Linked DNA regions of Lepisosteus oculatus. The main gene of each other region encodes a partner of the protein of the gene in region 2 in a complex. Links are inferred from orthologs where the notes say so. Each region holds a gene or a part of one and is shown on either strand. Other genes may lie near its edges. The genes, in order: ccna2, e2f1, ccnf and rb1.

Region 1 (7,837 bases), on a different chromosome or scaffold from region 2:
GCAAGGCCCTTAACCCCAGCTGCTCCAGGTGGCTGTATAAATGGCTGACCCTGCGCTCTGACCCCAAGCTTCTCTCTCCCCGTCTGTGCCTGTGTGTCTCATGGAGAGCAAGCTGGGGTATGCAGAAAGACAAATTCCTAATACAAGAGATTGTATATGGCTAGTAAAGTGATCTTATCTCTTATCTCAATGCTTAAAATGCAACAGAAAAGACAAGTATCTAATTATCCAAAAGGAAAATGTATTTTCTACTTATCGTGGAAATAATTCTTTAGGGTAGTTATTGGATGTTATGTTATGTTCTCTACCATGCTTTTTAATTTCAGCAGTTGTTTTCATGTTATAATCTTGACTGACATGTTATAATATGTTTAATTTTAAAAATGTATTAAAAAACATACTAGTGTCACTGCAGGAATAAAGAAAATCTAACTTTTTCTACAGTTCCGTATACAGTATTACATTTAAATGTTAATGGGTTTTTTTTGCAGGTATGATTACGGATCTCTTCATTGACAAATTCAAATTTAAAGGACAGAATGTCAAGACTAAAGTACCATTGCTGCTTGAAATCTTGGACAACTATGAACTGAATTCTTTAGTGGAATTTTTTGATTCAGCATAATACTGAGATGTAAACAAATCATTGAAGTTTCATCCAGTGTGGTATGTTTTTCCTAAGAAGCTACAGTAACATTTTTTAAATTTTGTGTTGTATTTTTAAGAAATGTTATTTGGAAATACAAGGGAAGTTATTGTTTCAGTTTTCAAAATATCATAATTTTCCCTGATACTTTCATACATTTTAACTCTGTAAAATTGATGTATTTATAAATGATATGTACAATAGTTGAAATGTAGTAATATGCATAGAAATTATATGGAGTGGTGTTCTTAGCAAGTACGGAGTTGGTGTTGCAATGAACAGTTCATACAAATATTTCTTCTGACTTATCATTCACATCTATTCCAAATACTTGAGCTGTATAGTGAATATAAGAATTTGATTTTCTAAATATATGTTAATGTTAATATTTTTCTATGTTAAATAATTCCAGATTAATTTATGTATACAGTTACCTTACTCTCATTGGGGCATATAACATTTGTGAAATAATCTTAAATAAACTTAATTATAAATGTTTAATTGTCAGTTTGAGTTATTCTATTAAATGAACAGTCCTGCTCAGGATAAATTAAGTACCTTTCAATGAAGAGCTGCAAACTATATGTCTGTCACTCAATAGTCTTGTGAATACACAGAAATGTTGTGATATGCTGAAGATTTAAGTGATTTTTCAAGATGAAATGTAGGTTATAATCAGGTGGGATGCTCTTGGTGATCAGGGGGGCATTTTAATATTGGATCTGCTGAATTAACACCTGGTGCAGAGCAACCCAGGGAAATTAATGAAAGTGCTTTCCTGCATTGAATTGTCTGCCTCCCAGGCTTTACAGGAGGAATAATTCAATCTTGATTGCAGCACAAAAGTGATTTGCAGGTACTTTAATGGTTTGGTGATGTAAATGCAAGGATATTTTAAATGTAGGCAATCTGTGATAGTGAAGAACCAGTGTCAAATAATTACTCCATAGGGATCATACAGACTTTTTCAGGAATACTATGTTAAGAAGAAGTAGCATTAAAATTGGCTATTTGATGTTCATTAGGTACAACTTCCATTAACACCATTAAAGATACATTATGTGCGTGAGTGATGTGTTTGTTTTTTTTGCAAGAAAAATATTATCTGTACTGTATCTGTAGCATAGGATCTTTGTGAATGTGTTGATTTAATGCATAGCTTTAAATTAACTACTAGTAGTATATATGTAAACTTGAAGAAGGCTCCTGAAGAAGGCTCCACGGCCGAAACGTTGTGTTCTCTTTCTTCTTTTTTTCAGCATGGAATAAACCTATTACTTGTTCCTTATGTGTAAACTACTATGTTTATATGTAAACATACTGTATACTATGGTAAACTAGACATAACATTTAATGTTTTTTTTAAGCCCAAGGATATTGTTTGTATTCACATACTAACCCTGGCTGCCAGCAATTAGTATATCAAAATAAATCATACAAACACCTGTTTTTTTCAAAGGTTCTTCTTCTGTTCCTGTTGTTAGGATGTTAAAAATTGCTTTCCAAGGAACGTTTTAATACATTTATTAAAAACTCCATGTAGTATTCCACATTTCCAAAGGTGTATTAATTCCTCCATTTTCGAACCACTTTATCCGATACAACCTTGCGAGGGTTCCAGAGCCTACCCTGGCAAGCAGCAGGCTCAAGGCAGAAAACACCCTGGACAGCATTGCAAGACACACAGAGACACACACGCGCTCGCACCTAGACTAGTTTCTTTAGAAGCTAATTAACCTATTAGTATGTCTTTGAACTATGGGAGGAAACCCCTGCAAACACATTTAAACTCCAAACAAAAAAACACCCCAGGAATTGCCCCCAGGGACCCAGCGCTGTGAGGTAGCAATGCTAACCACTGTACAGCCATGTTGTCCATGTGTATCAATACACAAGGGTTCAATTAATAAAACCTAAAATGTAAGAACCTAATTTTGAGGTGGCAAAAAAGCATCCGTATTATTTGTAACCACAAATTCATATCAGATTACTCTGAAATCCTAAATAATAATAAGTCTTACATCCCCTAAAACATCCTTAAGGGGATAAAATCACTTCTTCAGATCTAACTAAACACCCCAGGTTAACATCAGAAGTTAAGGTACTTATGTGCTAAGTTGAGTAGCTTTTTTGTACTTTTGTGGCTGATCTTGGAATTAATGTGATCAGTTAACTGGAACAATAGCATCTTAATTTGCTAATCCATCTTGGTGACTCCAATCAACAAGTCTACATTGCAGACAAATTAAGGCAATAATTAAGAGGTTACAGAGCCAAATCGTTTCACAGTTCTGGTTTGCAGTAATCAGAAAATGTGCCCTGGCTGTATTTAACATTTCAACTAATCCATCTTATATTTAAAATTTGAATTTGTATCATGGAAAATTCTGAAATTAAAACAGTTTAGGATTTAAAGTGGAACAGTGTATACCAATTATTGCTGTTATTACTACAGTTTATGTTTAGTTTTGTGGAAAGTGACTTTTAAAAATGATCCATTACTGTTCAAACTTGCAATTGAGGTAAATTGCAGCACATTGATTTTGTGTTACTTTACATAGCAACTAGGAGTAAGTAAAGATTTAACTCCACACTAAGAAGCAGAAAGAAGACATCGTTTCGGCTGTTGATCCTTGTTCGGGTGTATAAAGCACAGGAGGACAAAGGACTGGGAAGGTGAGAAAGAGTGCAAACGAAGGGAGGTCTGGGGGAGAGGTGTGAAAACCTGAAATCTGTAAATGAATGGAGAAATTCTAAAAAGACGAGGTTTGAGGAGAATCTTGGCTTCTCGTGTTTTTCTGTAGTAGGAGTCCCGAGGCCCCTGTAAAAAGAACTGTCAGTGAAATGAGAAACTATTGTGCTGGAGAGATCTTTGAGCCTCACTGCTCTGAACGGTATTTATAATACTTGTGTTTGTTGTAGAAAATATGTAATCAGGCCAGAAAAGAGGAACTTGATACATTCAGGGACGTAAAGGAATGACATACACTGACAGGCTGAAGGACCTTGAACAAAGAAGACCATGGGGGGACCTCACATAAAGATTTAAAATCCCCAAAGACATTGACAGGCCAACATCTTCAGCATGAACCAGAGGACACACCAGGAAACTATGTGGAATTGTATTTAAAACTGAGAACAGGGGACACTTCTATACCCAGGGGGTGGTGGGTGTGTGGAACAAGCTACCCAGCAATGTTGTTGAAGTTGTTTTCTTCTGATGTTCTTGGATCAATTAAGTACCAAACAGGCTAGATTGGCTAATGGCCTCTTCTCATTTCCACGCTTTTAAAAAAATTCTCCTGTACAAAGTAACTATACACACTTCATGGAAAATAACTGATGCCAAACCCTAAGTGAATCCTTCATTTTCCAACCTTTCTTTTTTTATTTTTGGAGTTATGATACAATTACATTTCATTTACATATAACAGAGATACATAAACACAAAATAAAATATAGCCTTTTTGTCCTTTTGAATAGTACAATATTGGACATTCTCAGTTTGCACATATCCACATTCAAAATGAATGGTAAACTGGACTTTCAAAAACCTTGGACTAATGCTGCACGTTGTAGACAACGTGGCCAGTTCCTAATGAAGTTTATATTTCAATATCATTAAAAAAATGTTTATTTCGGTACATTATAATACTTATGCATCGTAGGAAACTACTAATTATATAAAACTAACAGGAAATTCATCCTATTTTTTAATATTTGAAAAGGAAAATAACGTGCATTTAATGAAGTAGCATTTTTTTACTACTGTGTGTTGTATGAATATATACAATTGATGTCTATAACATTCTAGCTAAAACCTGGGGCTGTACCGTAATGGCCTAAAATGTGCTAAGTGAATCAATCAGTCAAAAAAAGATTACTTCGGCAAAATGTGAATTAATCACATCGTCAATCCAAATATTTAACATAACCTCAAGTGAAAAAAAATATATTGTTTGTTCAGATTACCCAAACACTTGAAACGATCTGTTATGACAGTAGATTTATAGTTGTTGTAATCAAAGTATAATACCGGTCGCTGACTCAATCATATTTGAAGGCTTTTGTCCCGGTTCTTGTGAGACTGAGCCCCAGACAGGAATTTTGGATGTCTGCGCCACCGTAGGTTTGGTGACGTAAAAGGTGAGGCCCGCTCGGATTGGGTGATTTCAATAGTCGCGGGCTACTTGAACAGAGAAAGCAGCAGTCCAGTAACTGCAGGAACTGGGGTTGGTGAGGAGTTGCAAGTTAATCTCTGGTTATTCGGATCGCTAAAAAACTGCAGCTCGAAAATACAAGAGACCCAGCATGGACAGCTGAAAGTGATACGTCTGGGGAGGCGGTGATCGGTTGTTTTTTTAAGTTTGTTTTTTTTTAATTCTAGACTTTGGGAGGGGTATTGGAGGACCTCTTCGTAGTAGAAGACTCTAACCCTGATGTTACAATTTATGTTTTTTCTGGTTGCTTGCTAGTTCATAACGTCACAATTGTTAACCCGGAACTACGGCGGTTGTTTTATTTTAAATTTTAGAACTTTATTTTAGCGTACTAGCTGAGCAACAATGTTTGGTATCAGTCGCGATCACGCTGCGAGTGACTTGCAGAAAAATCAAGACCGGGAAAACATGCTTCTTAAACAAAGGGCTGCTGCAAAACACCGGCTTGAAGATCAAGAAAATATAAACCCAAAAGCTACAAGCAGAAGTGTTTTGGGAGCTTTGCAGAACAACCAGAGAAGCGCAAGACCCCAGCTACAACAAGGAACAAAACAGGTTGGTCGAAGCTCTTTTAAATTAATAAACGATTAAATTATGCGATTTAAATCTAATCGGTGGTGATAATATACATTAGATAAACTTAATCTGAGGTTTTCGGTGTTTCATTGCGGTTTGCAGTCTATCGGTGTTGGTGCTCGTCTGCAATTTCTCCTTTAGTGTGGTTAACTTCTGAGATTATAGAAAGCCGTTCCGTTTTTAAAACGCACAGTGGTCAAAACACTTGATGTAGTCAAGGATCTAGATTAATCATAATTTATTACCTTAGCGCCACAGAGGCAAACAACTGTTTAAATGGCCATTTGGTGTTTCCCAGTGAACAGTCCGCCATTTTCAAGACGGCAGGTTACTGCTGTAACGAGCTCTACACATTGCAGAGACGGGATAAAATTGTGGGATCACTTGTTTTGAAGTGTACTAGTCAAGTTTTCGCTGACGTTTCCGAAGATTCTGGTTTCCCTTTTCCACGAGAAACTAATCGCGCGTCCGTTTTCAAAAAATGCATGCAAGCCATTTCTCAAGTTTAACTTAAAAGGCCGTGGTTTACGTTTCTGCATTAATCTGGATTTTTTTTTTGCATTAACCTGGAATTGCCAACGTTATAGGAACTTGGACTGTAATTCAGTGACCCGCCATTTTAGATGATTATAGAAGCTCTACCTGGCCAATATGGAAATGTATGTAAACGTCCACTAATACTTACTGACGCAAGATGTTATTGTTTTTTGTTCTCAGGGCCATTCGTGTCAAGTGCTGTCCTGCACAAATTCTGAGAACCATGGCCGGGATCCTTCAGAGAAGATGGGTGCAAAGCAGCCCGGTTTCACAATTCACGTGGATGAGCCTGATGGTGCTTGTACCAAGAAGCAAGTGGCCTCCAAAGCTAAAGTCCTCATGGAGAAGCCTCTGTTTACAATTAACCCCATCGCGGGGAACAGACAGCCCCTTTCCGTTATTGAGTGCCCTCTGGATGCCAGTTTTGGTAGGTGTTTCCTGAAACAAGAATGGCTTAGCTTTAAGGAGGTAGCTCCTTGGAGACTGACTTGCAATCAATGGGAAGATTTATAGTTTTAAACCAAAAGAAAACTTACCTCACTTAGCTAACAGTGCTTTTTACTCTTTAACCCTTATGTAACCAAGCCTAGGCTTTTGTAACAAGTGCAGTATACCCTACCACTGTAAAGAAAGAAAGCAACTTCTCATAATTCTAACTAATTTAGAAGTTGGTATCCATTTTAAATCATAATGGCATAACCCCATTGTACTAATTCTGGGCTGTACTTGCTATTTTTTCCAGATTCGCCAGTGGCTATGGACATGTCAGTATGTGATGCTGAGGAAAAACCAAGGGATGCAAATGAAGTGCCAGACTATGCTGTAGAGATCCACAAATACTTAAGGGAAATGGAGGTAAGAATGGATTTTTTTTTCCACAGGCAAACTTGACACTTATATTAGTTTGATTTGAATGCTTGTTGTGGGGCTTCAACTTCCAAATGAAGGTAGAATCCCTTTCCACTGAGGGGAGTATGACCTCCAGCTGATCCAAAACCTCTAAGATGGCTATGTACAGGGGGATTCCAAAACCCAAATGTTTTAACTCTTCATTTTAATTGTTCTCTTCCTCAGATAAAGTCCAGGCCCAAAGCTGGCTACATGAAGAAACAGCCAGACATTACGAACAGCATGCGAGCCATCCTTGTGGACTGGCTGGTGGAGGTGGGAGAGGAGTACAAGCTGCAGAACGAGACGCTCTATTTGGCTGCGAACTATATTGACCGCTTCCTGTCCGCGATGTCGGTCCTGCGGGGGAAACTGCAGCTGGTCGGGACGGCAGCTATGCTGTTGGCTTCGTAAGTCTCACTCTACCACCTGAAACCCCCTTTTCAGTTGATCCTCTTCCCCTTGTATGAGACCTGACTTGGTTCCCCATTGTGTTCAGGAAATTCGAAGAGATCTACCCCCCAGAAGTCACGGAGTTCGTCTACATCACGGATGACACTTACACTAAGAAGCAAGTGTTGAGGATGGAGCATCTTATTTTGAAAGTGCTGTCTTTTGATCTTGCTGCTCCTACAATCAACCAGTTTCTCACCCAGTACTTCCTTCATCAGCCAGTGAACCAGAAAGTTGAGAGCTTGTCAATGGTGAGTTGATGCCAACGATGTTTATTTTTATTGAAATCCCTGGTATTTCACTTACAGGTTTTTAGTTTCCAGAACATACATCACAGACCTTTTGTAGGTCTTCCTCTTTATTTGTTTTGCACTTCTATAGAAGTGCAGAGATGTACAGAATGCATTCATGTCTTCATACCTTGTTAATTTTTTGCAGTTCCTGGGGGAGTTGAGTTTAGTTGATTCGGACCCGTTCCTGAAATATCTCCCGTCGGTTACAGCTGCCGCCGCCTTCG
Region 2 (7,505 bases):
GAGCAAACTGGAGCACCTGGAAGAAACCCACGGGAACATGAGGAGAACATACGAACTCCACACAGACAGCACCCCAAGGACTGAACACCGGCCCTCAGTGCTGCAATGTTAACCACTGTACCACCCATTCTATGCATTTATATTAATCTCAAGCTCAGACATACAGATACTTTGTATTCTCTATTTTATTTAATCTGGTGAATCAGCTGGCTTTCCTATACCCTCCTTCTGAAGGGTGTTGTAACTGAATTCGATCTCCTCACATGCTGGGGGATTTCGAAAGTACTTTTTCAGGGAAGTGGTTGGCTCATACCTCTCTCCGGCACACGAGGCCTGGTTCGGGGTGGATGGCGGATCTCGGACACGTACTGGTGGTCATTGTCCAAGTCCAGCTTTCTCTTCACCTGCGCCGGAATTGGGAGAGACAAGTCAGTGGCGGGTACATGACTTGAAACCGGGGAAGCACACTGAGGGTATCTAGACCCAGAGGAAAAAGCGACCTGGAGCGGCCTGACAAAATTGTAACAGAGTTGTACCCCCCCCTCCGCCCAACCCACCAGCTGCCTAGCTCTACCTTCAACACAACCCCTCATCTCAGCTGTTCAGTCACTCAAGTTTTCTGCATGGGTCTGGAAACACAGAGCAGGGCACCGTCAACTTCATACTTTCATGGCACTTGCTGAAAAAGCACAGCACGTTAAATACTGGAGAGCACAAAACTGACACAGGATGATCTGATCATGTGCATAACATTAATGTTTAAAGAATCGCACGTCCCTAAAGGCAATTCATCTTTCTGGTGTCAATTTTCTTAACTATAAAACAAACTTCGCATTAACTGATTTCTCACACAGCGCCAGCATCACGGTTCTACATTTGCTGTGCGAACTGTAGCCTTTTCCTCATGCAGATTCCCTTGGCCACATGGACAGAAAAGTCCTGACCAACCTGCAGCTCGCCCACCACACCAACAAACTACCAGTTTAAACTACTGTCGTGGAAGAATGACAGGCCACCACCAATCCTCACTGTGCCTCATCAGTACCCTTATAACTGCTGTTATTATATCCTCAGAAAAACCATCAAAACACAAAACAGGGCATTATTGCACCACTCCACGAGCGACAACCACAAAAATCAATGACCAGTTTTACGCTTCCTGACAATCCTCAGTAACAAACATGCCTGGCAATATGTTTTTTTTTTTACCCCCAGTCTAGTAAAAACGCCATTGGCACAATGATGACCTGTTGATTTTCATGAGCGTTATATTTTTGAATGAACTGTGAGTCTTCAATAAAAGATTCAACAGCCACTTCCCACGACTAGACCATATGCCCATATATATCGGACTTTATCCATCTGCGCAACAGATGAGCAGCCTCTTGCATTTACAAGTTGTATTTCTGTCCGGGGGACAGAGAGGCCCTTACCGGAGGGCGTCCCAGGACCGGCCGGCGCTGCTCGTCCTCCGGGGCAGGTCCCTGCGGGGTGGCGAACAGCAGGATCTCCGCCGCGCCGCTGGAGCCTGCGGGCTGGATCTCCACATGCGCCGGCGTGGAGATAATGACAATCTGATCCTCATTCAGCTCAATACTTCCCGATCCCAAAATGGACTCAAAGTCAGCCAGAAGGTCCTCCGAAGTCTGACCTGTGACCACTGTCTCGGACATGGCCTTCCGCGGGTCGGCTGCCCGTTTCCCCCCCTTCTTTGCCCGGCTCGGATTGTGGCAGTAATTGAGATACTTTAGTGGCAAAGCTTCATGTCTCCGCGTGGAACAATGGTAAAAACAGGAGTACAACCGGAGCCATTATCTTAAGAGTAATGTTAATTTTCGCGAAGTAAACCTGCCTCACTGTACCTACAGGGTGTATATCCTAATAACACATAAAAGCCAATTGCTGAACCCTGGCATTCGGCTACGTGTAATTACAGTCTGTGGGTGCGCAAGTGAAACATGTTTGGTATAGCTCAGGACCTGTAATTGCAACGCACAACAAAGACTCAAGAGAGCTCGACTGCTAACTACAGGCCCCTAGTCTGCCTCAAACCAGCCTGACAGAAAGCGGTCGAAACAATAAGTCAGTATAAAATGCGAAAGGCCACAAGTTTAACTTTAAAAAGCCAGACTTTTCCCATATCATCAATTTCGTTTTGAATCATACACTCGCCTCTGAGTGCGAACAGGATTTTTACATTTTAGATTCCCTACATTTTACATCAGTCCAGTAACGCAATCATTGTATAATCAACTATACATTTTCTTATCGCATGCATCTATGCATCTTAATGCGAACTGTTAAGGTCCCTTAAAAAACACACATTCTCAACTAAGTTCTTCACTAAGCCTCTGTAAAAACCCCGTGCAACCGCACGATCTTTCTTTCGGTTTTCAAGTTCTCCGGAGCACCCTGCCCTTTGTCCCAGCTCCGTCTGCGCCTTACGATCACAAATCGATTCGATATCAATACAGTCCATTCGTGTCTGCGAAATGCACAAAAATAATACTGTCCATCTTAATGATCTCTAGAGCATGAATGCTTTGATTCCATATATTCTAAAAATATTTGGTGCTTCTTCATTTAAATTCCATTTTCAAGTTTAGCGCAGCGCATTTTGTCTTTCAGCAGACATAAATCTGAAATCAAAAGGTGTATCAAGAACATCCCGAGGGCCTTGTCCATTCAGTTATATGCTCTCGTTCTGCGGCCGTTTCTTTCCATTGATCTAGGCGAAAATAAAAGCACACCCCTGTTTTTGAGCTAGTATTCAGGAAGCAGAAAACAGCGTAATCCTTCATACGCGTAAAAGCAGATGTTTTCCAACAACCCAAAATGCCAAACAACGAAAAATTCCCCAGCATAAATTCAGAAAAAAATAGTCCTTAAGAAGTGAATGTATGGTACTTTCCGCAACAGAACCCCCGTCGCCCCATCTACAACTTGTTCTTGTTATTGTTATTGTTGTCCCAGCTGATCAGACAAGAGCTGGGGATTTGCGCGCCAAATCTTTTTTGCCGCGAAACTTGCACGTGTGCTAACCCCGCCTCCGGATTGGTGGAGCTCTAGGAGCTCTGCACTGACGGGGCGGCACCTACCCTTTTTTTGGCTCCACCCACACACCCCCCGCGAAGGGCAGCTGTGCTGGAGAGCAGGAAGGTGATGGGTCTGTGTGCGGGTCTTCACTCACTGAGGTCGAGCACAAAGGAAATTCTTGCAGAAATCACAGGAGTTTAATGTCACTCGTGTGAGATTATAATCACCCCCTCTGAAAAACGTGGCCTTCCGAAAATCGCAGCAATCCGAAACAGAATTATTTAACGTGCTGCGTGTAGACTCCTAAACTGTGAACGATGCAGGTTTTCTTTCCAGTACGGAATTTGCCGAAACGTAAAAATGTGATATTTTGAACAAGCTTGTGACTAAATCACAAAACGTTCCGATTCCTTAAACATTTACTGGACAGACCCACAACATGCCAAGGAACAACTGCCAAGCCAAGATATTGAAGCCAGAACTCCCATGAACCTCAGGAAGATGCTGGCTGGGTCTTCTGAGACTGATCAGCCACTGCAACCTAAACAAGTACCTAAGGGTTGAAAGTTTGCTCATTTATAAGATAAGGCTACTTTATTGGCCATAAACAATTTCTTATATTACAAATTTGTCTTTTTTCAAATACCACAACTTGCTCTCCATGAGACACAGAGACAGGGAGAGAAGCTAGGGGTCAGAACCACAGGATTCGAACCCACAACCTTCCAGCCGCAAGCACACAGAGCCACCACACCACCCCTGCGGAGCCCCTGCACTGTTCATCAGTCCTGCATACTACTGGCAGCACAGATAAGGGGCCCAGCCCTGCATGTCTTTACAGACTAGAGCATGAACGTGTCTGCTTCAGATTAGACACTATTGCTAGAGAGAACCAAGCAATTCACTTTCTTTTTTGCCAACAATAAGCTTACATAGAATTTGAAAGTAAATAGGAGAACACACAAATGACAACATTACTTTATATCTGTACACTAGGGATCCTATTATTTTCAACAGCCAACAAAGAGAACAAATGCACTGTAGGGCTTTAAAAAATTTATTCTGAGCAGTTTATGTTATTTACATATACTAAGCAAAATTCAATATACATGGCATGCATTCAGTGATGAGTCAACACTTAGAAAGTGCCTTTTATATACAACATTAAAAGGAAATCACTGTCACTTTGTTTCAGTATTATATTTGATGTTCACTCAGATTCTGTAACTTGGATAAAAGCTTTGACTTTAAACAGCGATGATCAGCACGGTTACTCTTAACATGATCTCAGTTTGCTTCTCATTAAGGATTGGATCCTTAATTTAAAAATAAACAGGTTTAAAAAAAGACTGCTGTCACAGATTGCAAAACATACTCAAGAGTCATAGATCAAGAGACACAGAACCAGTCCAGTTCACCTGAAGCTACAATTCCTTACAGTACTCAGGACAGAATAAGGAATAGGCAGACCTGGGCTGAAAAAGAGAAACTTATTTAAAAATATTGGATATTGTGCGTTTCAATGTTCAGTGGTAATACTCTGCAAAAGCAATGTTTTAGCTCACTCAGACAAGCTTTAAAGTCAGGGGTCTCCTAACACTGTCCTGTAGATTCACCAGTTATTTTGGGGGGCTGTCCTTCCTTCTGAAATGTTGAATAACTTAAGTGATTAAACAACAAATTAGCACAAGGCAGCGTGTTTTCTGGGTTTTAACCAAGCCAGCCCTTTCATGCCCACACTACAACAGAAAAAAAAAAATTCTACAGTACAATTGAGAAGCAAATCATTTCAAAGCTCAGAAACCCCAAATTCCAAAACGACTGTTGTGAATCTGAGTTTGCAATGTAGATATAAAAAATCACTTCTATTGTTGTTACCCACATGAAAGAGAAGATGGAATGGTTTATTATTCTATTATAATAAAGTATAACTATTGATATAAATAATAGTATTCTATTAATAAAAAAACTGTTCAGTGAAGCTTCATATGTAGTGCATTTGAGAACTTGATCCAATTTAAAAAAACTGATAACCTATATTTACCATCCTGCCTTATCATGCCATGGGAGTTTTGTTCTTATGTTAAGATATAGTCCTATTATTTTTATGCCCAATATGATTAAAGACAATTATTTCATTTAAGAACTATCATGACAGAATAAAGTTACTACTGTTGATTAAAACTTCAAAGAATTACAATTGAAGAATCAAAATCATGATTCTGTCATGCATCAAAACTAATAGCATAAAATGTGAAAACAGAAAAAATATTAACCATTCTATACCATAGGCTTAACGTGTCACAGTGATTTAAGAAAAAAACTTAACTGTTTACAAGGTTTTAGTAATTCTGTAAGTGCAAAACTAAGGAACAAAGTGTACACTGTACACTTTTACTGTATTACACAGAACTTGCAAACAAATAACTATTAAGAAAGTAAACTGTAAACAGTATTTTTAAAAATACACAGCCAAATTAAACTACAAGGACCTTTTCTCGATGAGTGACTGGAAACCTTATGGAAAACAGCACGTACATTACAGTACTATCTGCTGGTCTCAGGGTTAATATACAGTATACGTAGAAATTGATAAACACCTAGGACAAGAAAAAACTGAAGGATGTTTTGGCATATCTTGAAAATAAGCTGACATTCCATTATTCAATCATAATGTTAGAAAATATTCATGCACATTACACAGCTGCTCTGGAAAGGCAGCCCTCTTCAGAGATCATCAGGAAACAGCTGCGATTTCACTCTGAAGTTAGTCAAATATAAAATCTAAGAAGTGCTGGAGGCCAGTTTTGCTTTCCCACCTCTAAGGGAATGGAAATGTCTTCTTTGAGAATGTATTGAAAAGAGGTGAGGTCCAAACCACCTCCCCCCACCCCAAGAAAATTCCAATTCTAATGATATTAAATAATTCTAAAGAGATGGGGTTTAATGATGGAAGACCAAATTGACATCCATTTTTCCAGACTCCTCTGAAATGTACAGCTGGGTCATAAAGGTCTTGCTAACCCACTCACAATACACATTTAGTAAATAGACTTTCAGCTATGCAAAACAAGCCCAAGACCAAAGGGGAAACAGTAGTACGAACATTCTTCTAAAAAGGCTGGATTTTCCTGAACTTTCATCTTAACTGATCTGAACTGCCTGCAAGAGAACCCGACAAGCCCGTCCCAGATAAGGGTCCAAGCTGCTGGAAGGTTAGTTCTGAGCCCCAGCCCGGGGCTTGTTGTACAGGAGGAAGTCAGAGATGTCATGCCAGGTGTTGCTGTCGTGGTAGAGGTAGTTCATTGAGGACTGGAGTGAAGGCTGGAGAGTATGGGGGTAGTACTCGAAGAGCCACAGCACGATGCCCCACACCAGGGTTGCGAACAGAGGGAAAGGATCTCTCTTCGGCTGGGGGATGTAGCCCTTCTCTACAGCCAAGCGAGACAGAGCAAACAGGATCCGGGACAAAAGGTACATGTTTATCTGTGGAGAATGAAAGCAATGTACCATATTGCACAGCTCACAATCTGACAGCCTTCAAATAGTAATGCATTCTTCCTTGTAGTGTTCAATTTTCAAATATAGTTCTTGCACCGTCCCCCTTTTAATAATAATTCCTTACAATTCATATAGAGCTTTTCTGCATACTCCACTCAAAGCGCTTTACAGATAATTTGCGACTCCCCTCCACCACCACCAATGTGCAGTCCCACCTGGATTATGTGTCGGCAGCCACAGTGCACCACAACGCTCACCACACACCAGCTATCAATGGGAAGGAGAACAAAGTAATAAAGCCAGTTCATAGATGGGGATTATTACGAGGCCTTGATTTATAAATGCCAATGGGAAATTTGGCCAGAACACCGGGTTTACACCCCTACTCTTTTCGAGAAACACCCTGGGATTTTTAAAGACCACAGAGCAACCTTAGCTTTCCAAGGAGGTCTCCCATTCAGGTACTGGATAGGATCACACCTGCTCAGCTTCAGTGGGTCACCAGTTGTAAATTGCATGGTGATATAGCTGCTGGGAAGTTCTTAAAATGAGTTTAAAAACTCATTTCCACATTGCCCATTTTCCTCTTAACTGGATTTACAATCATGTACAGTTGTGCACGTTTATAAAAGCATTCCTTCTCACTGGCCATTTTAATGCCTGCTCCAAACTTGGTTGTATACAGAAAGCAGGAAAACTTGCAGATCATTAGACTGTACAATAACAACTAAACATTTTTTTTCCCTCAACCTCTTATATTTCAAGTGTGGGGTCAATCTTTTTTCTAAATTTTAAACTTCAAGTATCTTGTTGTGTTCTATATCTAACCGTGGTTAAAACCTGGGTTTCAGGCTACGACTCATGAGCTCACATTGAGAGAAGGGGGATCCACAGATGTGCTTTCCACAGATGTCATGCCTGTCTTTCAGAACAGTCCCATCTTATGACACGCTGCAAGGCTGCAGGTG
Region 3 (7,971 bases), on a different chromosome or scaffold from region 2:
AAACACAGAGTCTATATATGTTCTGTAGTAAACATATACTGTATACATGTGCTGTACTAAACAAGTGTTCTATACCTGTGGTGTGGTAAACACATACAGTATTGTATACACGCTGTGTAGTAAACACATAGGCTGTAGTGAAAACATACCAGTTTGCTCTCCTTCAACATTATACCAGAGCAGATAAGAGCTCCTCTGAATTCATGTTAAGATGAATTATAAAACCATAATTTTCTTCTACATTATTTCTAAATATTGTAAATACTGAGCTACTGTAAACAACAGATCCATTAGGCAGCGTACACGTTCACCCCACATTTAAACTGCTTTTTGAGAAAAAGAAGGACCACTTTTCCCTGCCAACTTTAACAGCCTTCTAATGAATAGGATACAGAATTTATTTGTCCTACATTGCACTGCGACTGTTAATGTGGAGCATTATGTACCTTTTCTGTGACATTTTGTGTGCTTGGCCTGCTATACTTCAGCAGCATAAGTCCCCTCCATTATGCACTAATGGGACGAAAACATTTACCCACGACTGGAGAAAGAGGAAAAAAACAATGGCTTGTGCTTCATAGTCAAAGAATTCTCGATCAGTTGTCAGGCTCTCTAAATACAACCTGTCAGACACTTCCTACAATGTGCAAGTCATTGCTCACCCACAAAAAAGCTCTCTCGAAGTCTTGACAATTTTCTGAATACTGAAGCACTGTCTCACTGTGAAAAACAGACGTGATGTCAGAAGTGCTCATTACTCATGAGAAGTATGCATGTGTCTGATAAAAAATGAAGTACGAAGTAGATCCATGATTTAGATGTGGCCTCCCAGTCTCTGAAACCCCAAGGGTAAGTTTCAAGTCCTGATTCTGCTAAGTTTGCTCCTGCAGATATCCGGACTTTCTGAGGGAAGATCTCCAAAATTAATGAAGATTCATTAATCATCATTAATTTTACAGATGCAAAATGTACAAGATGTCAAAAGTACTACTTATTATACATTATTTTTAGATATTTAAAATAATGAGCTGCTGCTTTAAATGATAGATCTGTTAGGTACTCCACTTTGTTCTCCACAATGTATAAATAATGTTATTATATTCCATGTAATAATCTATCAGGATTAATTTATTCATGAATGAGGTTACAGAAGATTGCTAGCAGGGTTGCACACATTTGAAAATGATTTCGTTTAGTTTTTTTAGAGTAGTTTGCGTTCACACGCTTTTGTAATGATCTTTTGTGAACAAAAGGTGATGCTATTGGTGATCTTCACATACTGTATACATTTGTAGATTGTAAACTTACGCCACAGTTTCCATATGCCTTAATGGCAGTAGAATCAGGGAGTGAAGATTTGAGAGACATTTTACGACATGTGCTTCATAACTGGTGATCGGCTCTCTGCATCACTTCGAGAGCCTTGTGCAGCTTTTTCACTCATGGTCATTTAGTGTGTGATTTCAGTTTTCAGTGGACAGAGAATTCTTCTTTCTATTTTTAAGCTAACAATGCTGTTCCCTAGTGTGAGAAAAGACGGCAAGCTTTTCCAGGGGGGACTGGGCTGTGTTGGAATGCTGTATTATAAGGGAATGGTTTGGGAAAAGACATGGCACACACACACACTATCCCCTGTTTAAAAAGATGGGCAATTAAGAGGTTACATGTAAATCCATCCTTTTACAAAACCAGTCACATTTAACCCTGGTTCTGAAGAGCTGAGGAGTCCAAAAGTTTACTTATTACTGATTATTACTGCTTTCATTGCACATCACCACTCAATTACTCAGTTAGTTAGGGTTTAGGCAAACAGACTACAGATAACACCAGACTCAGCAGGACTGGAGACCTCTGATCTAAACAGACTGAGGAGCTTCCAGAGTAGCAGGCTGTACAGGTGTGTTTGTCACAGGAGACACATTTCTTTTACGATGATGCTTCATCGTTACACCTCAAGTTACTGCAGGGCAGTATGAGAAAAAGAGAAGAATGTGCAAAAGGTTTAATGATAGAAAATCACCTGTTGTCAGTATATTTTGGACAGGTGTCCTTCTTCAACTGTGTAGACAGAAATGATGAAAACTATATTCTGCGCAGTGATGTGATGATATCAGAATACAATACTTCAAGATATTCCAAGACTCCCCCCAAAATATCGTACACAGTTTTCCTAAAATCGCAGTTGTGATGTCAGCAGACCACTTAGCGTGGAGAGTGTATTGTTGAATTACTGGGAGTATAGGTAACCATTGCCATAGGATTTCTTCTGTCCCCTGAATAACTTTTGAAACAAGATGATTAAATGCACTAGGACCTTTCAGGCATAAAGAAATACATTTTAAAGATTGAGTTAGTGGGAAGGTATAGACGTGCACGTGAAACGCAGTGGGCTCAGAAAGTGAAATGGAGTCTCTGAGTTCTGGTGTGCCCTTCAGGCAGTGACTGGAGTGTCCTGTCCTTGGCTTGGAGTGGAGTGCCAGCACGGGGAAGGACTTCACCGAATTCTGGTCTGCTAGAGTTTCCACCGACCGTCACCCAGGCAGGCAGTTCGGACTGACTGTCACCCAGGCAGCTGGACTGTGTGGGATGATAAAGGTCTATTGGAAAAAGGCTGCAGGGCTCCAGACACAAAAACCCTGCCAGCTCTTTATCTTTTCCAATTTTCTGTTCCTGGGGATTTGATCTATGCTCGCAAATAATAAAAATACGCGTTTGGCATTTTTGTCAATTTTGTTGCTTTTGTTATGTCATTTTAACTCCTTTTTTGGATTTTTAGAATATTATTTTATTAAATTGTTTTGCGATATTATGTATATATATTAAATTGTTTATATGCATGCATGCATGCAGGGAAGAATACAAAACCAACAGAAAAAAATACATTTTGCTAAGGACAATAAAATCACTAATCATTTTAAAAAGACGTTGTTTTCAGCATTTCTGGTGATTGTATTATAAAGAATATCACACTTTTTTGCATAGGTTCTCTATGTGTGTAACAGAGTTCCAGACATCATCTCTTTCTTCCTTACCCAGTCTCCACAAATTCTTAAGGTAATAATTTTCTTTCAGAATGTTACTTCCTTTACTCCACATAAACGCACTTTGACTACAATTCGGCTCTGGGGATGTTTGTCTAAAGTTGTGTGCACTCTTACTGGTTGATACGTTGATATCCCATCAACCCATTTCCTTATCATCTCTCATTACTATGGCCAGTGGCTCCCAGCATTAAACAGAGGCGTTCCAGGGCCAACAGACACTTACACGCACAAACTCCCACCAGGGCCAGCTTTCCCAGCAGGTCTTTGGGCTGTGGGAGGAAATCGGAGCACCTGGAGGAAACCCACACAAACCTGGGGAGAACATGCAAACTCCACACAGACAGCGCCCCAGGCCCGGAACTGAACCCAGGGCTCCGAAGCAGCGACTTTGACCCTAAGCATCAGTCCCAAACCCACATACAAAAGCCACAACACCCTTTTATTGCATGGTCCTCGAGATATTCATCACAGCTCTGGGACAGTAGTGCAATTACAAATGATTAATGTAATTAATAATCTCCTCCCAGAATCAGAAGTGAATCACAGTGTTTAGGGACGTTGGCAGAAGGTTGCAAAAGATCCAGAATCACTTTGGAAATCTCTTCCATAATCCTGACTTTTGTCCTGGAAAACCTGCGCACGTTTCCCTCAACCATACTGTACATTTAATGGCTAGTCTGACACACGGGAGTTTTCCACACATGTCCAACCCTGACCCTTCACGCCAATGTCTTTGATCCAGACAGCATTTCACCATCTGTTTAAAATAATAGGAGAAAGGTAAATGCACATTAGTGTATTTTATATACTGGGTGCGTAAGCACGGGTGTTATTTCTGCAGTATCTGTCGCTCTTCACATCTGTGTTTTGCTGGAATATCTCGGCAAAATAAGGAACTGAAATCCCAACAGAATCACACTTTAGTTTCAATCGGATGCACACGTTACAGATGGAATTAGAGGAAATGGATCACACGCGGTCTGTCCTGAAGCTGTTTCCGTACCCAAAGGGGTTAGAACACTTTCAGGTGGGAGGGGCGTCTTGACTTCTGAGTAAAAAAGATTTAAAAAGCGTTTTGTGTTCTGTGGTGAGGTTTTTAAACGCACTTCGAAGTGTCTGAGTTAATTGCCAATTGGACAACTGCTGTTACGATTTTGATTTAAAGCATTTGATCGTCGCATTGAGCAGCGCAGTGAGACGTGGCCGGTTGCCTTATTGACAAGACCTTTGTGTACTTAGTAGCAACGTCCATTATATTGTAACGCAACCCCGAAGCCTTACAATATTTTATTTTGGCTAAATCAGTGTTTCGTACCGTACCTTGTTGGTGCACAATTTCAATAAAATGTTATGTCTAGGGAAACGTTCGAACAACAATCCGTGATGTGGTTTATGATGCGTTTAAAACGCAAACTTTACGATGGTATTTTTGTCGCTATGAGCATGCAATCAATCATTTCTACCGTGGATCTAGGACGTGAAATAACTATATGCTAATAAGCTAAATTCTTTCACACGACCGAGCTTCGCCAGGCTCGGAGCTGGAGAACCGCGCCCATTGAGGTATACCCAAGTCTCCGACGTCCCTTTAAATTGAGTAGATTTAAACTCCGAATCATACACTTCACTACAAATCCCAGAGTTTAACACTCCGGGGCAGGACGCGCAAAACTTCCCTCTTTCCATCCAATGACGTGCCTGCGACTTAGAAGCGCGTAATTCGAAATCGCGTTGCCCTGGCCAATCACCAGCTCTTTTCTTAGCCCTCCCGTGAAGGCAGCCAATGGCTGGAGCGGGGTCGATTCTCCGCCAATCACGATGGCCTTACGAGCGGAGTGGGCGGATCGACGGCCCGTCCAATGAAATGACGAAGTTGATGTTTAAACTGGGCGCGCGGGCGGAGCGTCAGGAAGTCCGGGGGCGGGGACTCGCGGTGGAGCTGGTTGGGTTTGAAATCTTAAACTTATTGGTAATCTCCCCAGTTTTAAATTAAACCCACTTTTAAGTTTCCTATCGCAAAGAGGCGCAGTAAAGACGTTTTAATCTTACATATTTATATGTACATAGTATTTAATTTTTCATTTAGCAACGCTTAAAATGAAAGCAGGCGGTGAGTATGATTGCATTTTGCTGCGGTTTTGCAACTGTTTCAATTTGAAATGTATTTAAAATTCAGAACTGTGACCTAAAAAGTGCGGCGATGTTGCATTTAAAATTGCACTGCTCTTGATTCCGTAACGTTAACGTTTCGTTTTTTTATACGATTTAATAGTTTCGGGAGATATATATATATAACGCCACTGCATTCTTTAAAATATCAAGCATACGTAAAATAGAACTTTTGTAAAATGTATTTTATAAAAAAAATGAACGAAACTTCAGAATACTGTGAACTACTGTAAAGAAATAGTTTCTGTTGCCTGCATGTTTCGTTCAGATCTCTCATTTGCCTCTCGATTTTAACTCTGAAAATCTGGGGACAGTATTAACTATGGGGGGCACTTTATGCACGGCAACGTGTCCTGTAGTCCTGTATCTAAGTAGTCCTCAGCCACAGGTCGATCTGTGCTAATATACATTACATACCGTAAGTCTAACAGCTCGATTAAAGGCGTTTACCAGCTTGCATTGTTGTAAAAGTAAACGGAGGAGTCAGGCTGGGTGCTGATTTTCTGCAAATAATAAGGCAGTGTTGCTCATTCCGACCCTGGCAGGACAAAGTATACATTTTGATTCAGGAGTGGGCCAGGAAAGGCGCCGGGGTTATCTTAGCCCGGTTACTGACAAGGAAGTACCAAGGTGGTCGAGAAGGAGGGAAAGGTTTAGTGCTCAGTGGGGCCGGGGGACCGTGAGCGTCCGACGCGTATTTGCGTGGACTCTGTCCCGGTGGTCTCCCCACTCACGTCCCAGAGGCGCCGGGGGCGTGTGAGGCTTATCCCGCCGGCTTTCGGATGCATTAGCATCTCAGAAACGCGCAACGTTTCGGCTGTGGAGCCTTCTTCGGGTGTGCTGAGGGTGCTCGACTCCCGAAGAAGGCTCCACAGCCGAAACGTTGTGTTTATTTCCTTCTCTTTCCAGCGCGTAGTAACCCTTTACTTTGTTGCTCCGCAGCCTGCGCCCGCTGACCGTTCAGTTAATTGTCCTATGCACACGTGCGATGAAATGCTCATTTGCAGGTGTGCTCCAAAACAACAGCCATCTAGGAGACGCCTGAAATATCAACGCGGAACAGGAGCCGCAACAGTGCGTTAATGTAACTCGCCCCTCCCCAGACACCGCTCCCTAATCTATTAGCGGGTGGGAGGAATGTCACGCGTATACACGAAGCACCGTGCAAACGGGTGGGACAAGGCTGGGTTTTAATGAGTTTACATCCAAAGGCCCCGTCCTGTCCACACGCGGCGGCTGACGGGTTGCCCTGCGCCTGAAGCCCGTGCTGTTGTGGATGGGGCTGTGTTACCGCGGCTCTTACCCCGTGCATGTTGTCTCTATCCCCCAGTGCTCCACTGCCGCTGCCCCAAGTGCTACTCGGCGCCGGTGCGGATGCGGGTGCGCAAGCGGGCGCCCGCGCTGACGCTCCTCGGCCTGCCCCGCGAGGTGCTGCTCTGCGTGCTCAAGCACCTGCCCGCCCAGGACCTGCCCTCCGCGAGAGCCGTGAGTCTGACCCCCACCACCCCTCACCCCTCCGATCCACCAATAATTATAATTGCTGACACTTAGATAGCGCTTTTCTGGACACTCCACTCAAAGCGCTTTACAGGTAATGGGGACTCCCCTCCACCACCACCAATGTGCAGCCCCACCTGGATGATGCGACAGCAGCCATAGTGCCCCAGTACACTCCCCACACACCAGCTCTCAGTGGGGAGGAGAGCAGAGTGATGAAGCCAATTCATAGATGGATGTTCTTGCACACAATGGCTCTAGTGCAAGAACGGTGTGGTGTACAGTTTCCCATGGGATGGGGACAGGGTACGGGGGGGATACTGATGAAACCATCTCTAGTTGGCCGGTTCTTTGCTCGGCTTGGCAAATGCCTGGTTTTCCCCAAGACAAGCCAGGTTAGCCTCCCAGGTATCCGAATGGAAATGGGAAAGGACTCCTGTCCCGTGTCTACAACCAAATGGAAAGCCGTTTTGTTACTGTTAATGGCTGATGGCTTTTTTTTCCCTCCAGTACTGAATAATGAGATCAATAGCCAGACAATTTAGAGGGCTCTTGTGCTGATGAGTAGTAGCTGTAATCGAACTTGTCCCTTGTAGAGAAGTTCAGTCACCATTGTGGTGACAGATACCGTGCTACACGCGCAGCTCAGCTGTGTTTTAGATGATGCTGTCAGGCCTCCTGAATCTTACCTCTTGCTCGTACTGGGGGATCCCAGGCGAATCACTCTTTCTCGTGTGAAATCTGTAAGCTCAGATCTGAAACCGCCAAGGGGCATTGGAACGTTTGGTTTAGGGACAAATGTCTTGTGATTCGCGAACAGCAGGCTTGTCGCAGGGGCGTAGCCTTAAGGTGAGGAGTTAAGTTTATTTGGGGCGTTTTAATCTAATCTAATGTACAGTGCATCTGAGGACAAGAGTCATTGGCATTCATTCTTGAAGGAGACAGATCTCCGTCATTGCACAGCATCCCGATGGATGGGCCGGAGTAAAAGCCTGTTTCTGGTTGTCCTTCCAGGTCCACCCCCTGCTCCGCGATCTCATTGACAGCTACACCAGCGTGTGGGCCAGGGTCAGTTTCAAAGATTCCTGGCCGACGCCTGACAATCTCTGGCTCTTTGAGAGGTAAAGGCTGAGATCCACATCCGTAGTTTTCAGGTTTGACCTCTCCGTTTCAGTACCTTGTTTTTACTATAGCATGTCACTATAAATGTTTATAGGTGGTCATTTTGCTTTGTGCGTGGTTGTTTCTAGGCTTTCTGGTC
Region 4 (7,024 bases), on a different chromosome or scaffold from region 2:
GAAAGGAGGAGAAAGATATTTGAGAAACATGGACAGAATATGTTGTATGAGTGAGCAGTGTGTTAACAGGAGAACTGTTGGTCGTTTAACTTCTCTTTTCCTCAGAATGGTAAGAATCTGGAATGGTAATGTTCAGCACTCTTTGTCTACAGTGTCATGACTGTGGTGTGTGTCTGAATCTCAGGAGGTCTTGAGTATCCCCGTTCCCGCCCTCGAATGCAGTGGGTGAAGAAACCACCAGAGCGACTGCTCAGTCTGCTGGAGAAGGCTCATCTCAGTGAGGCATTCAAGACGTACACTGTGTGCAGGCCAGGTGAGACAGAGAGATGTGCAGAATGGGCTTGCAGCAGGCGAGTAAGGTGGGCGCGGAGAGGTGCAGAGGAAGGTGTGTCGATTTCAGTCCCAGAAGAGGAGTGCAGACTCACTGAGCTTTCTGTTTGATTTGTACTTAATAATTAAAGATGTGTGATGTAAACATTTTGGACTCCAGTACTCAGAAACAGTGACCCCCACCAAAGAAAATATACCAGAAGATAAACCAGTTGTATTGTAAAAGAAAAAAATACTTACAAATACAGGGTCAGATTTTGTTGTGTTGAACATGTTTTGTGGTTGGGACTGTTTAAACACATAATATGAATCTATAAGATATTTTGGTAGAAGTGCAACACAATAAGTAATTGAGATTTAGGCTTATAAAATATTGTATTTAATTCTAATAAATAAAATAAACAAGTAAATCACAACAAGGTCAGTCACTAGGGTCAGTCACAGATTCTTGAATCCCTCATTGTCGTCCGGATACCTAGTCACTGGTCTTCTTGCTATTCTTACAAATTATGCTTTCTGAAATAGAGGAAAGAAAACAGGCATAGTGCTATTCTTGGTTATTGTTGGGGCTTCCTTGCTAGCAGGAAGAATACTTTGTGTTTACTCCATTAATTCCCCAATTTTTAACAGTTTTCTATATTTACATTTTCTGCATAACATTTTACTCCTCCCCAATCTGGAACTGTCAGTTGTGTCTCTACACTTGTCTCGGCCCACAGTGACATCTTTTGCTTTTAAAATCCAGTTGGTTTTTCGGTGAGGACCACGGAAATGGTAATTTAATGAGCTGCTAGAAAGTAAATATGTTGGGTGTGCTGATTGACCTCTCTTTCCTCATGTGTAACCTTTTGTTCTTATAAATCAACGAGGCGGTTTTTTCTTTCTTATTTTTTTGTACCCCAGCCAAATTTAACCCTCTGGTAGGGCCCCTGACACGGGGAGGTTGTGATGACACAGATGGGGACATAGAAGATAGTGTGGATTCCTACCGACTGGAGCCACGCTCTGATGATGAGGACACGTGAGTCTCTATACAGTCCCTGTCACTCATAACGGCACACACTCCCTCCATTGGCTGGCTAGTACTTGGATGGGAGATTGGAAGTAATAAGAAACTGCCTTAACATGGTATGGCAACTGAGAACCTTGAAGAATAAGCTTTTTGAGGTTCTTAAACCTCAGTCTTGAACTTGTGCTATGTGGTAATAGGTTATTCTATTAATCCACAGGAAATCCCCATTTTTAGAACACCCCTGCTTTCTGCTTTCTTGACTAAAACACCATAGTGCTGGCAACTTCCACAGTACTTCCTTGTGCTGCTTATGTTCTCATAGTGCAAAAGAGTTAGGTTTGCACTTGAGGATTTGTGTACATGGTCTAAAGAATGATGAACAAATCTGAAAGAAGATCATTTCCTCTTCTCAACTCAGGTTGAATTGTCGACAGTCCAAATGTTTTGCTTCATACTTGCAGGTTGAATTTTGTAGAAAATGTCCAGGGTGTCTTACTGCTTCAATATCCTTTGATATAGTTTGATTTTTACCATCCTGTGGAAAGGGTATCCTTTGAGGTCTCTGTGAACTTAAGTTGGGGCTCAGATGATTGTTTCACTGTGAAATATCCCTAGGGTATTCTGTTTTAATTTTGGGCAGATGTGTCAATTATAGATCATTCAGACAGTTTTCATTATATTTATAATGCCTGGATAAAGTCTATTTTTCATTCATTCTGCTTTAGCTTTCTTCATGCTTTCCTCCTTCATACTCTACATGTATATTACAACACAGGAAAAAATACTAGCAAGTGACATTATGTCCATCCTGTTTCTTTTATTGGCTGTAGGTCATGACAGCTATTGTTAATATTACTTTTAAGGCCCTGCATTAGTTGCCAAGGCCACAAACAACCTTTTCTGTGAATTTGTGTGTTTGTAACATTTTAACATATAACTGACTTACAGAAGCTCTTGTCATTTTCAGGGATTTTGAAGAGGAAACATTCTCCGACTGGGTGACAGAACTAGAGAAGATTTCCAAGTAAAACAAATGTGACACAGCCATTGCAAACTCTCCTACATTGAATAAAATATTAACTATTTTTCAAAATACCATGGTGTTAACATCAGGTTAACCTGCTTGTTAATGATCTAATTAAAGAAACAGATAATACAAATGTATTTAAATATAATATTTTCATTATGTAAATAAATAATACTGGTGTTATTATTTTGAATGAACAAACCAACAGAATTGGATATCACTGTGTATGAGCCTCATTTTCTTCCCCTGTTTTCCCTGAACTGCCAGCAACTGCAATATGATATAAACTGGCAAAATTTGATTATTTTTAAATAAGATTTATGATCACAATGTGCCAAAGTGCGTTTCATTTGTCTTTTCAAAATCCAGCTTTAGGTTTGAATTTTATTTCAAACTTTGCTACCACATCAGTTTTTGAATTGATTTTCAATAAATACTGAAAATGTTGTTGGTCTCTATGTAATTATTTGCAACTGATGTTCTTCCTCCAGTTGTCATTGAGATTTTGTTTTGGAATTTCTCATTTCTTCTCTTTTGCTTTTATTTTTTGCATTATCAAAGATATGCTTGTTTATGAGAGACAGATTATGTTATGTGTTCTTCTGTGATTTGTGTGGTGCCTTGTCAGCTTTGTGAGATGTGTCTTTTCTTCCTCTTTGTCAAAAACGTTTATACCAGGTGAGAGACTGTGAAAATTCAAGCACCCAGGTTACAGGTCACAATCTCAATCTTACTATCAGAAGACCCCTTTCATAACTGTCCTGAGGCCCAGTGTTTTCTTCAAAGTAGCAAGAAATGAATATTTCTTGAAAGAATGTAAACAATGAAAACCAAGCACCAGCATCTGTCTAGCATAACAGGTTACAAATATTATGAAATGTAAGAAACAGAACAGGTCAAGAATAACCAAACCTACAAATGTGAAAAAACTGGGGTTGATGTAGTCTTTTAATAATTTTCATTACACTTTAACTGGTATATAGTTTTACATAAGGAATTTAAAATAATTTAAAATGCTTTGCAGTATCATTCTGTGTGCAATATACATAACAGAAACGTTTTCCAAATATATCAGGAACCACTGAAGAATTAGATTTATTCTGGGTAAATTCTGATTAAAATTAATGTTTTATATTAATTTATATTGTTTACATATAAACATTATCCAAAGTATAACATTTACACAAATCCACAAAATATATATTTACTGCTTGGATACAGAGAACAATATCATATGTTTTGAAATAATTATTTCATTTATATGACCGTGCAGTACAACGGCAGAAAAATAAATATCATGTGTTAAAGATTTTGCGGGTACCTGTTTTCAAAACTTCCAAGTGTACTTCACGACTCTCATGTGCCATAATTTAAAAGGGGGAGGACCGTGCTAGATTTCAAACAATTCCACGGCTTTTTCAACAAAATAACATGTCTCGTCCGGAGCACTACAGAGTTTTTTTTTTACACTTTGGTTTATGTTTACATGTAAACAATACCAATTTATTATGTAAACAAATAAGTTTAACTTTTTCTTTCATTCTTACGACTGTTACAAAATGAGTTACAAGTTTCTTTCTCTGGCCAGTGGCTAAATGTCACAGGAAGTGACGGAGCAGGGAGGGAGGATATTTCGCAGTTTTCCCGCGGTTTAAGTGCCCTCTGAATCAGTTGAAACCAGAAGTACTTCTTGTCAAACGTGTAGGGGGGGGGATTTAATACTAACAAACAAAAAAGTATCCAAAGACAAAGACGCCGATTCCAGGAGTGGTTCTCCGCTATTACACTTGCACTCGGATCTTGTTAAAGCCATTGACATGCCTCCAAAGAGACGCAGCGCAGCTCCGAGCGCTCAGCTTTCTAAGGCTGCGGAGGATAAACACACCAACCGCGTCGGTGTCCCCGGGACGCCGGGTAGGATCCCCCAGCTCTCTCTTGAAAGGTAACAGCAGATGCCAAGAAATCGAAAATCTCTCTTGTTTCACGAGGAAGAGCTGGGTTTACTTGACCAGCTGTCATGCTGCGTGTAAACCTTTTGAGAGTGTGTAATGTAGGACCCGTTATGTTTGCCTTTGAGCCGCGCAGAGATTTAAGTCTCATGAATGAGGCTGACACTTGGGTTTTTCTGTTCTACTACTCATCTTCCGTATGCAAGAGGTGCAGGTACTACGCGATGTTTTTATTTCGTAGATTTCTTTCCCCTTTAGCCGGTGAAAAAGATTCCGTTTTTGTTTCCTGTGTTTGTCAAATAGGTTCCAGTCCTCATCAATTATACATTTTCGTCTTTGCTCCGGCCAAACAGACGTTCTTTACGTGTATATGCTTATGATAGATGGAGTTTAAAGTTTAGAAAGATATTCAGTCCCAGTTTGTGTTTAGTATGTAGGTGGATATCATGGCTGAAATATAACTAAAGTACGATAGCGTAAACTTAGTTTGTGCAGAGCGTTAGATCAGCAAAATGCACATTTAAACCTCAATATGAAGTCTCTAGTGTTTATAATGATATTTTAACCCAGCGCTTCATAGTCCTTTCCATGTTAAGATATGCCTCTTGTAAGATTTGTAAGTTAGATCACTTTTAGTGAGAATGGAGCTTCCTTGTGACCCACTGAAGTTTCTTAAAGATCAGAGAGGCTTCAATTACTTATTCTAGAAATCTATTTATAGATTTAAATACTACAATATTGTTAAAAAGCTGTCACCCACACCCCTTTGTGTTAGGTTCCTCCTGTTCTCAATTTTAAATCTACTGACCGTTTGTATTCTCTGATTAATGTTTTATTGTTGATTCTAAAAAAAAAGTCCAGTAGGTTGTCTTTGTCAGTGCCTATTGAGGACTGTCTTAATTCGATACTAAAGCAATGGTCTTGATGCCAGTCAGATGTGAAAATACAACCCACTAGGATATTGCTATCAGGATCATTGTGATTGCACTGCATCAGCAGTTTAGGAAGCTTATTCTGGCTTTGCATGTTTACACATTTCTTTTTGCTCTGTTCTATATTCTGTCTCTATTAATTAACTAACTAAATGTGTGGTCTTTATCAGTTTATAGGGAATGTACTTGTAGGACATTAGCATCAATGTCAAAGTTTCTCTGGACTTCATGAATAAACTATCACTTTAGTCTAATTCTTACAGTGTGAGGATATTAAAAAATCTTGGACACTTTAGCACTTAACCACCTGTGTAGAATAATGTAATGACTTGATAATCTGCCTTATATGTGTACATCAATCGAGCAATATTTATTGTGTTAATTACAGCTTAAATAAGAACACATGGCACAAATTAATATTCCACTCCATAATAATAAAATAGTAAATAGGCAAATCTGCTTCATTGCTAAATACTACAAGACGTTTCCGTTATCTGTTGAGGCTTAAATACTGCCATCAAACCAAATTATTTAACACTGAGAGGAAATATTGCTTTACAGCTTCACATAAGACTAATAAACAACTGAAGGGGAAGTGTTCAGATCAGGAATTTAAAACTGTCATAGTATGCAAGCTGCCCCTGTACAAAACAAGAAGACTGAGAAGCAAGCACGGAAAAAAAATCATTAAGTTGAAAGGACTCTGCATGGAGCTCTGTTTATAACTATTCTTAATACACCTTTAATGATGCATCATTTCACGCCACCATACAATAAAACTTTTGAAAGAGACAGGTAACCATAAGTTAATACAACTAAAAGCTAGAATGTAAAAGTGAGTGGTCTGATGTGGACTGGGCGATCATTCCGCAGATGACGACAAAAAGTATTTTCTCTGAGCACCAGAAGGAAAAGCATAGATTAGATAAGATTTAATTGACCCATGCAGGAAAAAAAGGGAGAAGAAAAACAGCACATTTGACTATTACAAAAAATAAGAAAAACATTGCTCATTATACTATTAAAAAAAAAGCAAAACATTCCGCATCATTCTATTGCACAGTATAACACATAACAACATGTAACATTTATAACACATCACAAAAACATATTGCACTCAAGTGGGTGGTAAGAGTCAAAATTGTGTTTATCCGTGACATTTGCATTGACAGTATTAATGGATAGTGGAACAAAGGAATGTTTGTATTGGTTTGACATGCTGCTGAACTTTGGAGCAAACACTCTCAACATGAGTGACCCGCACAGGTAACGGTCTATGTGTACACCTAAGTATTAATATGAGTCAACCTGAGTGATAAGTTTGTTGTGGATTACTACCTGTAAGTGATCAACTGTTCTGGGATCAAAAACTATTTCTTTTTAGATCTAGATCTCCAATTGTTCTGAACATCAGCCTCTCACTTGGTACTGAAACAAGGCCCGTGTCCAAAAGGGGCAACCGATGTGTGTTTTCAAAGGATTAACGGTTCACAGGTGTAGTTAGGAGCCCAAGCTTTCGTCCCCTTTAAGGTGATGAGGAGCGTTTAGAACTTATCCATTTCGGATATGTTCGGGGAGGTTAAAACAGATAATTAATTCACATGCATTTTACTTTTGGTTAAAGTTGACTAACTGTAGTGAGGAGCATATTTTATGTACACTGAATCAGTGGATTTATCCTCCATCACACTTTTTTAGTAAGACTGTTGGTCTTGAAGGTAATTGAAGCAGTTTTGTGGTCAGACAAAATTCTCCTTGTGTAAAACTGTTACAT

The links.
Region 1: the proteins of e2f1 (region 2) and ccna2 are in contact, whole or in part, in a crystal structure (PDB 1H24), measured with the Homo sapiens proteins. The link is inferred for Lepisosteus oculatus from reciprocal best matches to the Homo sapiens genes E2F1 and CCNA2. Residues at the interface, in NP_005216.1 of Homo sapiens: Val88, Lys89, Arg90, Arg91, Leu92, Asp93, Leu94, Glu95; in NP_001228.2 of Homo sapiens: Met210, Ile213, Leu214, Trp217, Glu220, Val221, Glu224, Arg250, Gln254, Tyr280, Ile281, Thr282, Asp283, Thr285.
Region 3: the proteins of e2f1 (region 2) and ccnf are in contact, whole or in part, in a cryo-EM structure (PDB 9CB3), measured with the Homo sapiens proteins. The link is inferred for Lepisosteus oculatus from reciprocal best matches to the Homo sapiens genes E2F1 and CCNF. Residues at the interface, in NP_005216.1 of Homo sapiens: Gly84, Arg85, Pro87, Val88, Lys89, Arg90, Arg91, Leu92, Asp93, Leu94, Glu95, Thr96; in NP_001752.2 of Homo sapiens: Met309, Ile312, Leu313, Asp315, Trp316, Glu319, Val320, Met323, Arg349, Leu352, Gln353, Trp379, Leu380, Thr381, Asp382, Thr384, Asp504, Tyr505, Val508, Leu510, Thr511.
Region 4: the proteins of e2f1 (region 2) and rb1 are in contact, whole or in part, in a crystal structure (PDB 2AZE), measured with the Homo sapiens proteins. The link is inferred for Lepisosteus oculatus from reciprocal best matches to the Homo sapiens genes E2F1 and RB1. Residues at the interface, in NP_005216.1 of Homo sapiens: Ala267, Pro268, Pro269, Glu270, Thr271, Gln272, Leu273, Gln274, Ala275, Val276, Asp277, Ser279, Glu280, Asn281, Phe282; in NP_000312.2 of Homo sapiens: Ser829, Arg830, Ile831, Leu832, Val833, Ser834, Ile835, Phe845, Ile848, Met851, Val852, Asn854, Ser855, Arg857, Val858, Leu859.

The regions. Positions count from the first base shown.
Region 1 is NC_090696.1:10,719,380-10,727,216, forward strand, and holds the start of ccna2 (cyclin-A2), read left to right. Parts: upstream 1-4,824; 5' UTR 4,825-5,211; coding exon 5,212-5,421; intron 5,422-6,159; coding exon 6,160-6,406; intron 6,407-6,721; coding exon 6,722-6,834; intron 6,835-7,053; coding exon 7,054-7,277; intron 7,278-7,366; coding exon 7,367-7,571; intron 7,572-7,758; coding exon 7,759-7,837. Other genes in the region: bbs7 (Bardet-Biedl syndrome 7 protein), read left to right, coding at 492-625. UniProt on the Homo sapiens protein: Cyclin which controls both the G1/S and the G2/M transition phases of the cell cycle. Functions through the formation of specific serine/threonine protein kinase holoenzyme complexes with the cyclin-dependent protein kinases CDK1 or CDK2.
Region 2 is NC_090711.1:15,208,900-15,216,404, forward strand, and holds the start of e2f1 (transcription factor E2F1), read right to left. Parts: upstream 3,011-7,505; 5' UTR 1,674-3,010; coding exon 1,434-1,673; intron 405-1,433; coding exon 314-404; intron 1-313. Other genes in the region: pxmp4 (peroxisomal membrane protein 4), read right to left, coding at 6,253-6,522. UniProt on the Homo sapiens protein: Transcription activator that binds DNA cooperatively with DP proteins through the E2 recognition site, 5'-TTTC[CG]CGC-3' found in the promoter region of a number of genes whose products are involved in cell cycle regulation or in DNA replication.
Region 3 is NC_090714.1:3,638,133-3,646,103, reverse strand, and holds the start of ccnf (cyclin-F), read left to right. Parts: upstream 1-4,961; 5' UTR 4,962-5,141; coding exon 5,142-5,154; intron 5,155-6,543; coding exon 6,544-6,698; intron 6,699-7,724; coding exon 7,725-7,831; intron 7,832-7,971. UniProt on the Homo sapiens protein: Substrate recognition component of a SCF (SKP1-CUL1-F-box protein) E3 ubiquitin-protein ligase complex which mediates the ubiquitination and subsequent proteasomal degradation of target proteins.
Region 4 is NC_090700.1:17,210,879-17,217,902, forward strand, and holds the start of rb1 (retinoblastoma-associated protein), read left to right. Parts: upstream 1-4,024; 5' UTR 4,025-4,186; coding exon 4,187-4,311; intron 4,312-7,024. Other genes in the region: serine/threonine-protein kinase Nek3, read left to right, coding at 185-313, 1,234-1,351, 2,310-2,370. UniProt on the Homo sapiens protein: Tumor suppressor that is a key regulator of the G1/S transition of the cell cycle. The hypophosphorylated form binds transcription regulators of the E2F family, preventing transcription of E2F-responsive genes.